Linked DNA regions of Oryzias latipes. The protein of the gene in region 1 interacts with the protein of each later gene in a pairwise test. Links are inferred from orthologs where the notes say so. Each region holds a gene or a part of one and is shown on either strand. Other genes may lie near its edges.

Region 1 (4,392 bases):
AGAACCGGGTCTAAACGTGTGTCTGAGCACAGCTCGGATCGTCAGCACACACAGCGGTTTGAGCTTCAAAGCAGAAATGTCGCTCAGTCCTTAGAAAACATTCAAACAATCACGTGGATTTGTGTTTCCAGTCGTGTCCCGACTAAATAAAGGCTGATGTTATTCACAGCATGCAGCGCCACCCAAAGCTAATGTTGTTAGCCTGTGTTAACATACTGCTAATCCTGGCTACGTTCAGAAAAAGCACTGACCACACGGATTAAAATTCAAATGATGAGCGAACAGGTGTTTCATAATAACCGTAACATTATTAAAAGCACGTTTAGAAGATCGTCTCGTATTTTACCGAGCTGACATGTCAATGTATATAGCTGCTCGCCGCTGTTATCGTTTTGTATTGAATTGTTATATTCAATAAAGTTTGGAAAAAAAGCCGCTCGGCGGAAGTTGTATCCTCTTCCGGTTTTCAAACTGCGCATGTGCGAATACTGCGCGTGTGCGAATGATTTATTCCGACCGAAATTGTGACCTTAGTGAACGTTTTTATATTCTGAAAACATTTTTCTGGGCCCATGTACACGGTTGGATACTAATCCGACCATTGATCCCATCAAGATATTTTGTACATGTAACCGCGGCTTATGATGTCGACGCGCAACGTGGCGGGGGCGTGGCATCACGATGGTGGTCTCTCCATCGGGATGTCAGTCACCCATCACAATGGACGATGATATCGTCCATCGGCACAACCCTACTTCACATCAAACTACATAGTAGTGCAGCAGTTTGTAATTAAGGCTTATACCTGATCAACATGGTTAGAATCTCCAGTAGGCCAGCGATGTTTACTGATTGTGCAACCAACAAGCTGCTCTCCGGGCTGTCTCTGAAAGAAGTACCCGACTGTGGCATCATCCTGAGATCTCCCGCTCAGCGGAGGTTGGGGTGTACCCGGAGTAAGGTTGGGATTCCTGTCCATGCCTTGTAGGTGCCCAGCACCCCCAACTGTGGTTAGGGGACCTCCAGCATGAACCCTAATGCCCCCGGTCTCAGGAGCGCCATTTGCGTGCAGCACCCCACCCCTCGTCTCCTGCCAGCCCACGTCATTCATACCTAGGATGCTGCATGGAACGCTCATTCCACGGGAAAACCTACACAGACAAAGCATGAAGAAATGCTACATTAATATGAACACATCGACATGCCTAAATATCACCCAAAATCTATTAGCTATGCTTATGTTGTTTTTAGCCAAAAATCAGTAAACCTGTGTCATTTTCTAGGACATAGTTTATGCAGAGCTGCGCAAGTTCATCAGAAATGTGCCTCCTAGTTGTGGAAGGGAATAGTGGCGTGGAGTAAGCCTGCCCCCACTTCCCACCATCCCTCTGTTTACACTCTGTCCTGCTAGCTTGATGTCCTGCATCACCAGAGAAATGACACAGGAGCATGTAAAAAACAAAATTTACACCGGACTCGGTCGTTAACGAGTTTTATTTATTAAAATGTGTTCTGCCAAAGTTATATTGACGTTAAGAGCCTGTTTCATGATGTTTTTAGCTGAAAGGTTAGTTTTTAAATCAAAATAAAATCGAACTTCTAGGTTCATAAGAAAACATCAAAACTATTTGTTGCTTAAAATATAAGTTCTGCTTTATCATGGAAAGCCTACAAGGTGGTTCTAATAAAAGGATTCACTCAGAATTATAAGTATTTTCCACGTAATCACTTCTTCTTAAGCAGCTTAATTACCCAACAGTCATTTCTGCTTTTTGAATTAGTTTTATTTCGATTGCTGGCTTATAGCATTCAAATTTGTCAGTAAAATAACTCCGTAGTTATAGTGTGGTCACGAATAAACTTGTTGGTGCAGCATTAGCATACAATATTAATAAACATATGCAAGCCTAAAAATCACGATGGTAAAGATTTATGGGTAATTTTAACCACGATAACATAAATGTTTTCTCTTACAAAATTGTTATTTTGGTCAAGGCAAAAACTATAAACGATCATTGTTGTATAATTTTGAAAATTAATTTAAACGGCAAAAATTAAGCGTTTAGTGTTGAGACAAATCAAAGAACAAACCGCTTTGCTAAGCTTGCTAGCAAGTCCGGTGCTAATGAGCAAGCTAAGTTAGCAGCAATTAGCAATTTTTTAAAACGAAAAATAAAGATTATTGTTACAGACTCAGTGGCAGTTGTCACGGGTGTGTTAAATTAGCTTTGAATAATCACACTAATTAAACAAAACATGTTCACGCCAAAAGACATCATTTAGAAGCTCGCCTTCGCAACATCCATGGCTAACCGGCTAATGCTAAGGAAAGCGGGCCTGTTGTGTTTGTTTTTGGTTTGTTACAACCAGACGTCAAATTCAGTTTGGGAATTAAACAATCCTAACCAGCAAAGTAGTGGAGATTTTAAATGATTTAGTTTGCAAAATGGCTTGTAATCATTTCTTACTTTTTCCTGACTCTGTCAATCACATTCAAATATGTTCAACAGTTCAAGCAACCCATGTCAGCTAAAATAGAAGCTAATTGCTGTTTTGAGAGCTAAAGCATCAGCCAAACACTCAGCGGCTAAACAACATGGCCCCCCTCAAGTTCCAAATAGAGGGGCCTTTACCGCTAAACAAAAGAGAAAATATTAATCTTGCGGTAACTGCTTCAAGGCGGTCGTCTCGTAGCGCCCGTGTTTGTATTATGAGCACAAAAGGGGGGAAAATACTCACGCCTTTTTGTATCGAGAGAGGATCTGTGCTCGCTGCACACCGTCAACCCTATTCTATATTGTTTTGTTTCCTTGAGTGCGGTGATTTAGCTTCAGCTAAGCGCTGTGCCTTCGCTGGTGCCCCCTCCCTGTAAATAGAGCGAACTACGTGGACACACACGTCTAACAAAGCTAATGTAAATCTATCTTTCCTGTATCATGTGTATCATGTACTCTTCAAACGCATATCAGCTCCTGACGGGTTGAAAAAATTCAAAAACAAACAACTCCGAAACAAAAAAACAAAAACAAAAATCGACCTATTTGTACTTATCTGAAAACTTTATCATCTGTGTATCTGATTTCTATTTACAGGTTTATTCTACAAATTTGAGGCTAATGTATATAAATTAGCTAACATAAAAATAATATTTAAAAAAAGCTATACATGAAGATTAAAAAAAAATCCGTGATTCCGCTTTATTTAACAGATTTTGGTGATTTTAGAAGCCGGTATGGTTCTTCTTGTTTTTGGACACGCCCCTTACTCCATAGGAGCCAATCATCTTTCATCTCCCAAAGTGTGATCTCACCTCCCCATTTCCGATTGGATTGCTATATTTAGGAAAGCGCACAGGCTTTATAAAACCACCCACTGGCCTGTAGATGGTTGGGAGTTTTTTTTTAATTAAGTGTCTGGTTTAACTGGTTAGATTTTGCCCACAAAAACAGGGTCAGCAGCACCAGAAGACAAAGAAGAAGACCGCGTCAGTATCTTTGGATGATTCGCCTGAGGGGGACCTCCTAGGAAAAGGCAGGAATGGCAGACATACGGAAGAAGCTGGTGGTGGTCGGGGATGGCGCATGCGGGAAAACGTGTCTGCTCATTGTGTTTAGCAGGGACGAGTTCCCCGAAGTGTACGTTCCGACTGTGTTTGAGACGTATGTGGCGGACATTGAGGTGGACAACAACAAGCAGGTCCAGCTTGCTTTGTGGGACACGGCCGGACAGGAAGACTACGACCGCCTGCGCCCGCTCTCCTACCCGGACACTGATGTCATCCTCATGTGTTTCTCCGTGGACAGCCCCGACTCGCTGCAAAACATCCCGGAAAAGTGGGTCCCCGAGGTGAAACACTTTTGCCCGAACGTGCCGATTATTCTGGTGGGCAACAAGAAGGACCTGCGCAACGACGAAAACACCAAGAACGAGCTGTCTCGCTTGAAGCTGGAGCCCGTGAAGGCGGAGGACGGACGCGCCATGGCGGCGCGTATCGGCGCCTATGACTATTTGGAGTGCTCTGCCAAAACCAAAGAGGGGATCTGGGAGGTTTTTGAAACGGCAACGCGAGCGGCCTTGCAAAAGCGGAGAACACCCGGAGATGGTTGTTTTAAATGCTGCGTTTTAATGTGAATCATCTGCTATCCATCCGCTGAGGCGTCTGGACACGCGTGGGCCTGATGGTTTGGGCACTCCCCTGCTGGAGTCATACGCCCTTGATTGAGCCACACACTGACTGAATACAAGCAGACTGTATTCCCTCATTTCCCCCCCGAGCACGCATGAATATCAACAAATGTTTGTATTTTTTGTTTTTTGTTCTTTGTGAGTCACATGATCACAGTCTGGCTGGTGGGGGTGAAGAGAAACCTGACCCACTTCCCATGTGGACAC
Region 2 (4,358 bases), on another chromosome or scaffold:
AAGTTGTCATAATGTGACAAAAATATTTCGCTGCATTGCAAGAGAGGATATTCGCTGTGATGTGGATGAGAATTTGTGGCCTAACATACAGGAACGACAAGAGGTGTAGGAAGACCACACCAATTCCTACTGCACTGCCTGTACTGTTGTACAGAATATTGTCCTATCTTTTTTTTCCCTTTGTGTTACTGTTTGCAGTGGGTTTTTTCTATGTTGGTATGACATGGTCTGTCAACAAATTACAATATGAACGATAAAAGTGTTAATGTGAATCTTGTCCAGTCTCTTGCAATCAAACATAAAAGGTGTAACTTACATTTTACAATAATTGTCATTGTCATCCAAACTTTAGCCATAGTTTACATCAGAACCTCCCTCTAAAGTACACAGTTATACTGACAACATGACTAAGTAATTCGACTGTCTTGTTCGTAGACAATGACACAAGGACTTGACATTCTGATGGCACTGACATGTTCAATGACATAAAGACTTAGTTTTCAGAGATGAACTAAAGATTTTGAGCACGTTACAGGCTTTTGCAAGAAATCCATAGTGTTTTGCTGTTTGTACAAATTGTTTTGAGAAATGCACACACGTATTTGCAAACTTCAATTCTGATCTGAGAATTGTACCAAAGCGACTGAGAAAAACTGGAAAAAGGACCATGGTAAAGCATTGCAATCATTTAGGGTACAGACAGCCTTCATATTAAAGGAACTTCAAAGATTACAGGGCTTATGCTGCCTGTGATGCAGTGCATCCATCTTTTGTTTTCAGGCTTTGGTGGTTTACAATTGCTTACAAAAAATAACAAAGTTACTCTAGAAGCTCTGGTGATGAATTAGGCAGAAAAATGAGAGGTTGTTGCATTGAAAAGCATATCGTAATAGAATATTAGTGTGTTTGAATGATGGAACAATTGAGCAAAACTGATCAGAATTGACATCCATACATATTGTGTGTCCTTCTGTGCTTTTCAGTGAGTATTTATTTAACTTTTGTTTCTTACACTAACCATTTAACGTTTTCAATTACAAAAAAATTGACAAAATCTGAAAGAAATACACATATTGGTCAGCAAACAACATCTTTAATTAATCCAGCACACAAATAAACATGTGGGCTAGTTGCATCATGTTAATTTAAAAATAAATAAATAATTGTCAAAACACAAAAAAACTTTCATGTTTTTTCCAAACAAATAAGCTTATGAAAATAATTTAACAACTCATAAATGTTTTGTCACACCACATAAGATGATTGAATTTTCCTGTTTGCTAAAAAATAAAAATAAAAAAAGTACTTTGAAATGCCTCCGTGTAAAAAAAGTTAATATTAATAAAAGCAAATTAAAACTGATAAATATACTAATTAATTAGGAGTTGCCTTTCTTCTGGAATAAATTACATTTTAAAAGAAGAGTGCGTCCTCCCGGTCCTCCCTGGTTGACCATGCAGTGGATCTGTCTCGGCGGAGTGGGGTCACGCCGGACGTGATGGGCGTGGTTTCGGATCATTCTCGATTGCTGAGCAGAGCCTTGAAGATCCGCGGCTTGGGTTTCTGGCCAAATTCTTGGTTTTAATCATTTTAGAAATGGTAAGTTTTTCTGTTATTTTATGTGCGTGTACGAGATGTTTATTTACTGAGAATGTTGTTGCGTTAATTTGCGTTTTGTGTCAAGTAATTGGTGCGATCGCGCTTAGCTTGAGGTGAACTAGCGGGAAGACTCGATGAAAATGGCGCCGAGTATGATAGAGGCCAACGTCGGTTCAACTTCAGCCGGATCACTTCTACAGCTAAAATATCAACCGATTTCTCAAGGACTTTCAGTGTTTTCGTGTTTACAGCGTTTGGACTAAAGTAAAGTTTTAAGTAAATCGTGGAATTTTTTCACGGGGTCTATTATAGTTGGCTACTTAACGTAATGTCGCTAAAACTTTTAAGCTAACATTCACGTGTCTGCTTGCCTTGCTTTAGCAAATACATACGGAATCGTATTACGGGGGATTTTTGTTTCGTTTCTGATATTTTTAAGAACTAAAACAGGCTGGGAACTAACCTCATCTGCTCCTGAAATAAAACGATAAGATGACCTCTAAGTTGAAAACTCATGTGTCCGTGTCACAGACTTGATCCGTTTTGTTTACACTAGTGGCGGCCACGTGCACGTTGGGTCTGCTGGCAGCAGGGGATTGTGGGATGCGATCCCCTGGTCAAAATAGGGCTGAGCATGGCATGGGTGTTTTTTTTTTTTTTTTTTGCCCACGTTTCTTTTCATATGGCTGTTTTGTTGTTCCACCCTTAGTTAATTCTTCCTGTTATGTTTGTTTCTTTTTGTTGCACTATGAGTGTGGAAGGGGGAGAGGGTGATGACCCATGTGCAATGTTCAGTGTTGTGAGTCCAAAATAAATGGGCTTGAAGCCTCGTCCTCTCTGAGACTGTTCGGAGTGGGGTGGTGTATGAGAGACGGACAGCTCTCCAGCGCAGCCACTTGAATGACAGCTCGGCTTTCATTTACCCCGCTATGAGTGACTTATTAGCGGGGTCGTTACAATAGCACCATTCTGATTTGTTCTTACTTACTGTGTTAACCTCAAACATTACAGAGAGACCCCCCACCACCACCACCACACACAAACGCGCTGTGACAATATATTGAGGAAGTATCTATAAAAAAATGTGTAAATATACCTAAAATAGTATCTTTTAACATTAACAAATAAAAAAAAGGAATGTAAATCCACTTTCAACAAATATTAACTTTATTTAGCCACACAGAAGCCCTGTTCTAGTCTTAAACAGAAAAGAAGCTTAAAGTGCCTGAAATAAAAATTCGTTATTTAAACTAGAAACATTTTGACCAACTGACCCATTTGATGCTGAGAAAAATAATTCAATCAATAAATAATATTAAATGTAAATTGTTCTGAAACATTAACACAGCAGCACCAATACATTTAACGTTTTTAGTCTGAAGAAATAAGTCAAAAAAACATTGTGCTGATTTTTCCTTTTTCTAAATGATGATTGTTTATTTATCATCTCAAAAAGTGCAGCAGTTTACTTCACTACCTGCTTTATTTCTGTCAAATACTGACACCAACTAAACGACAGGCAGACAAAGAATACATTTATGGAAAACAAAGACACGTCATCAAAATGTCTTCAATACTTAATAAAAAATGACATTATTAGTATGAGCTAAGTCATCTAAAGCAGTGTTTTTCAACCAGTGTGCCGCGGCACACTAGTGTGCCGTGGGAGATGGTCAAGTGTGCCGTGGAAAATTGCCCTCATTAACTGATCTAAAAACATTTCCCATCTCCAGGATTTCAGCTCTGTGTTCATCCAAACAGGCCCTGATAAAACACTGAGGAGTTAGGAATATAAAAGATCGTAAAATACTTTTTCTTTGCGTTTATTTTATTTTATTAAAGACATTTTGATAAGAATGACCGTACCGCGATTCAGCTGCAGCTCCGGCTGTATTTGGGAAAAGTCCCGTCCCTTTGACTGTCTCCACCAATCATTCTTGAGGGGCTTAATCACATGTCATCAGTCTGACCAATCAGAAGTGGTTAAAGTCTTCACTTCCTTGTCCCGATTTAGCTCGTAAAGTCGCTCAGTTCTAACAAAAATACCAGCTAAAGCTCGTCTTTAGCGCTGTAGCTTTCCACAGAATCCGGTATCAGACCGTGGAACAAGTGAACAAAACAATGAAGCTCCGAAAACCGATCTCCGGCCGTTTTATGCACTACATCTCCCATGATGCATTGGGTTGTGAGAGTGACAGGGCACAAGGAGATCTGTCGTTAGACGTCTTGAAACCAACGAACACACATCAAACTATTTTTAAATCTTCTAACTTAACTTTTATTGAATCTTTTAGAAAAAAACAGCTGCAGTTTCCAGCTTTTTCTGCAACAATTATCTCCAAAATGCATGTGAGATTGTGGAGGGGCTGTAGATCAATACAGACTATGAGTTTATCCTTTTTTTTTTTAATTTTTGGATGCTGGTGTGCCGCGGGATTTTTTTTTAAGGTTAAAGTGTGCCGTGGCTCAGAAAAGGTTGAAAAACACTGATCTAAAGGCACGCCATGATCCTGGTATTGGGCAACAGGCAGCGCTTGCAGCTCTCTTCGTGCCCCGTTTCACCTGGCAACCTGAGCCCACACTACCCCTCCCCTTTCGTTCTCACACACGTGTGACAGGAGAGCAGCTGCACGGACGGGGATTCACAGGTTTCAGGCTGTCATAAACTCTGCGATTTAACAGACAATAGGAATAGTGGCGCAGATTTTTTTCCCAAGCACTGAGCCGCTGTCACCACCACCCCCACGTTTCCCCCACGT

Evidence for each region.
Region 2: the proteins of pum2 (region 1) and dazl interact in a two-hybrid assay, tested with the Homo sapiens proteins (2 studies listed by BioGRID and IntAct). The link is inferred for Oryzias latipes from reciprocal best matches to the Homo sapiens genes PUM2 and DAZL.

Annotation. Positions count from the first base shown.
Region 1 is NC_019882.2:6,547,465-6,551,856, forward strand, and holds the start of pum2 (pumilio homolog 2), read right to left. Parts: upstream 2,868-4,392; 5' UTR 2,740-2,867; intron 1,152-2,739; 5' UTR 1,139-1,151; coding exon 806-1,138; intron 1-805. Other genes in the region: rho-related GTP-binding protein RhoB, read left to right, coding at 3,538-4,131. UniProt on the Homo sapiens protein: Sequence-specific RNA-binding protein that acts as a post-transcriptional repressor by binding the 3'-UTR of mRNA targets.
Region 2 is NC_019869.2:11,023,580-11,027,937, forward strand, and holds the start of dazl (deleted in azoospermia-like), read left to right. Parts: upstream 1-1,451; 5' UTR 1,452-1,596; coding exon 1,597-1,599; intron 1,600-4,358. UniProt on the Homo sapiens protein: RNA-binding protein, which is essential for gametogenesis in both males and females. Plays a central role during spermatogenesis.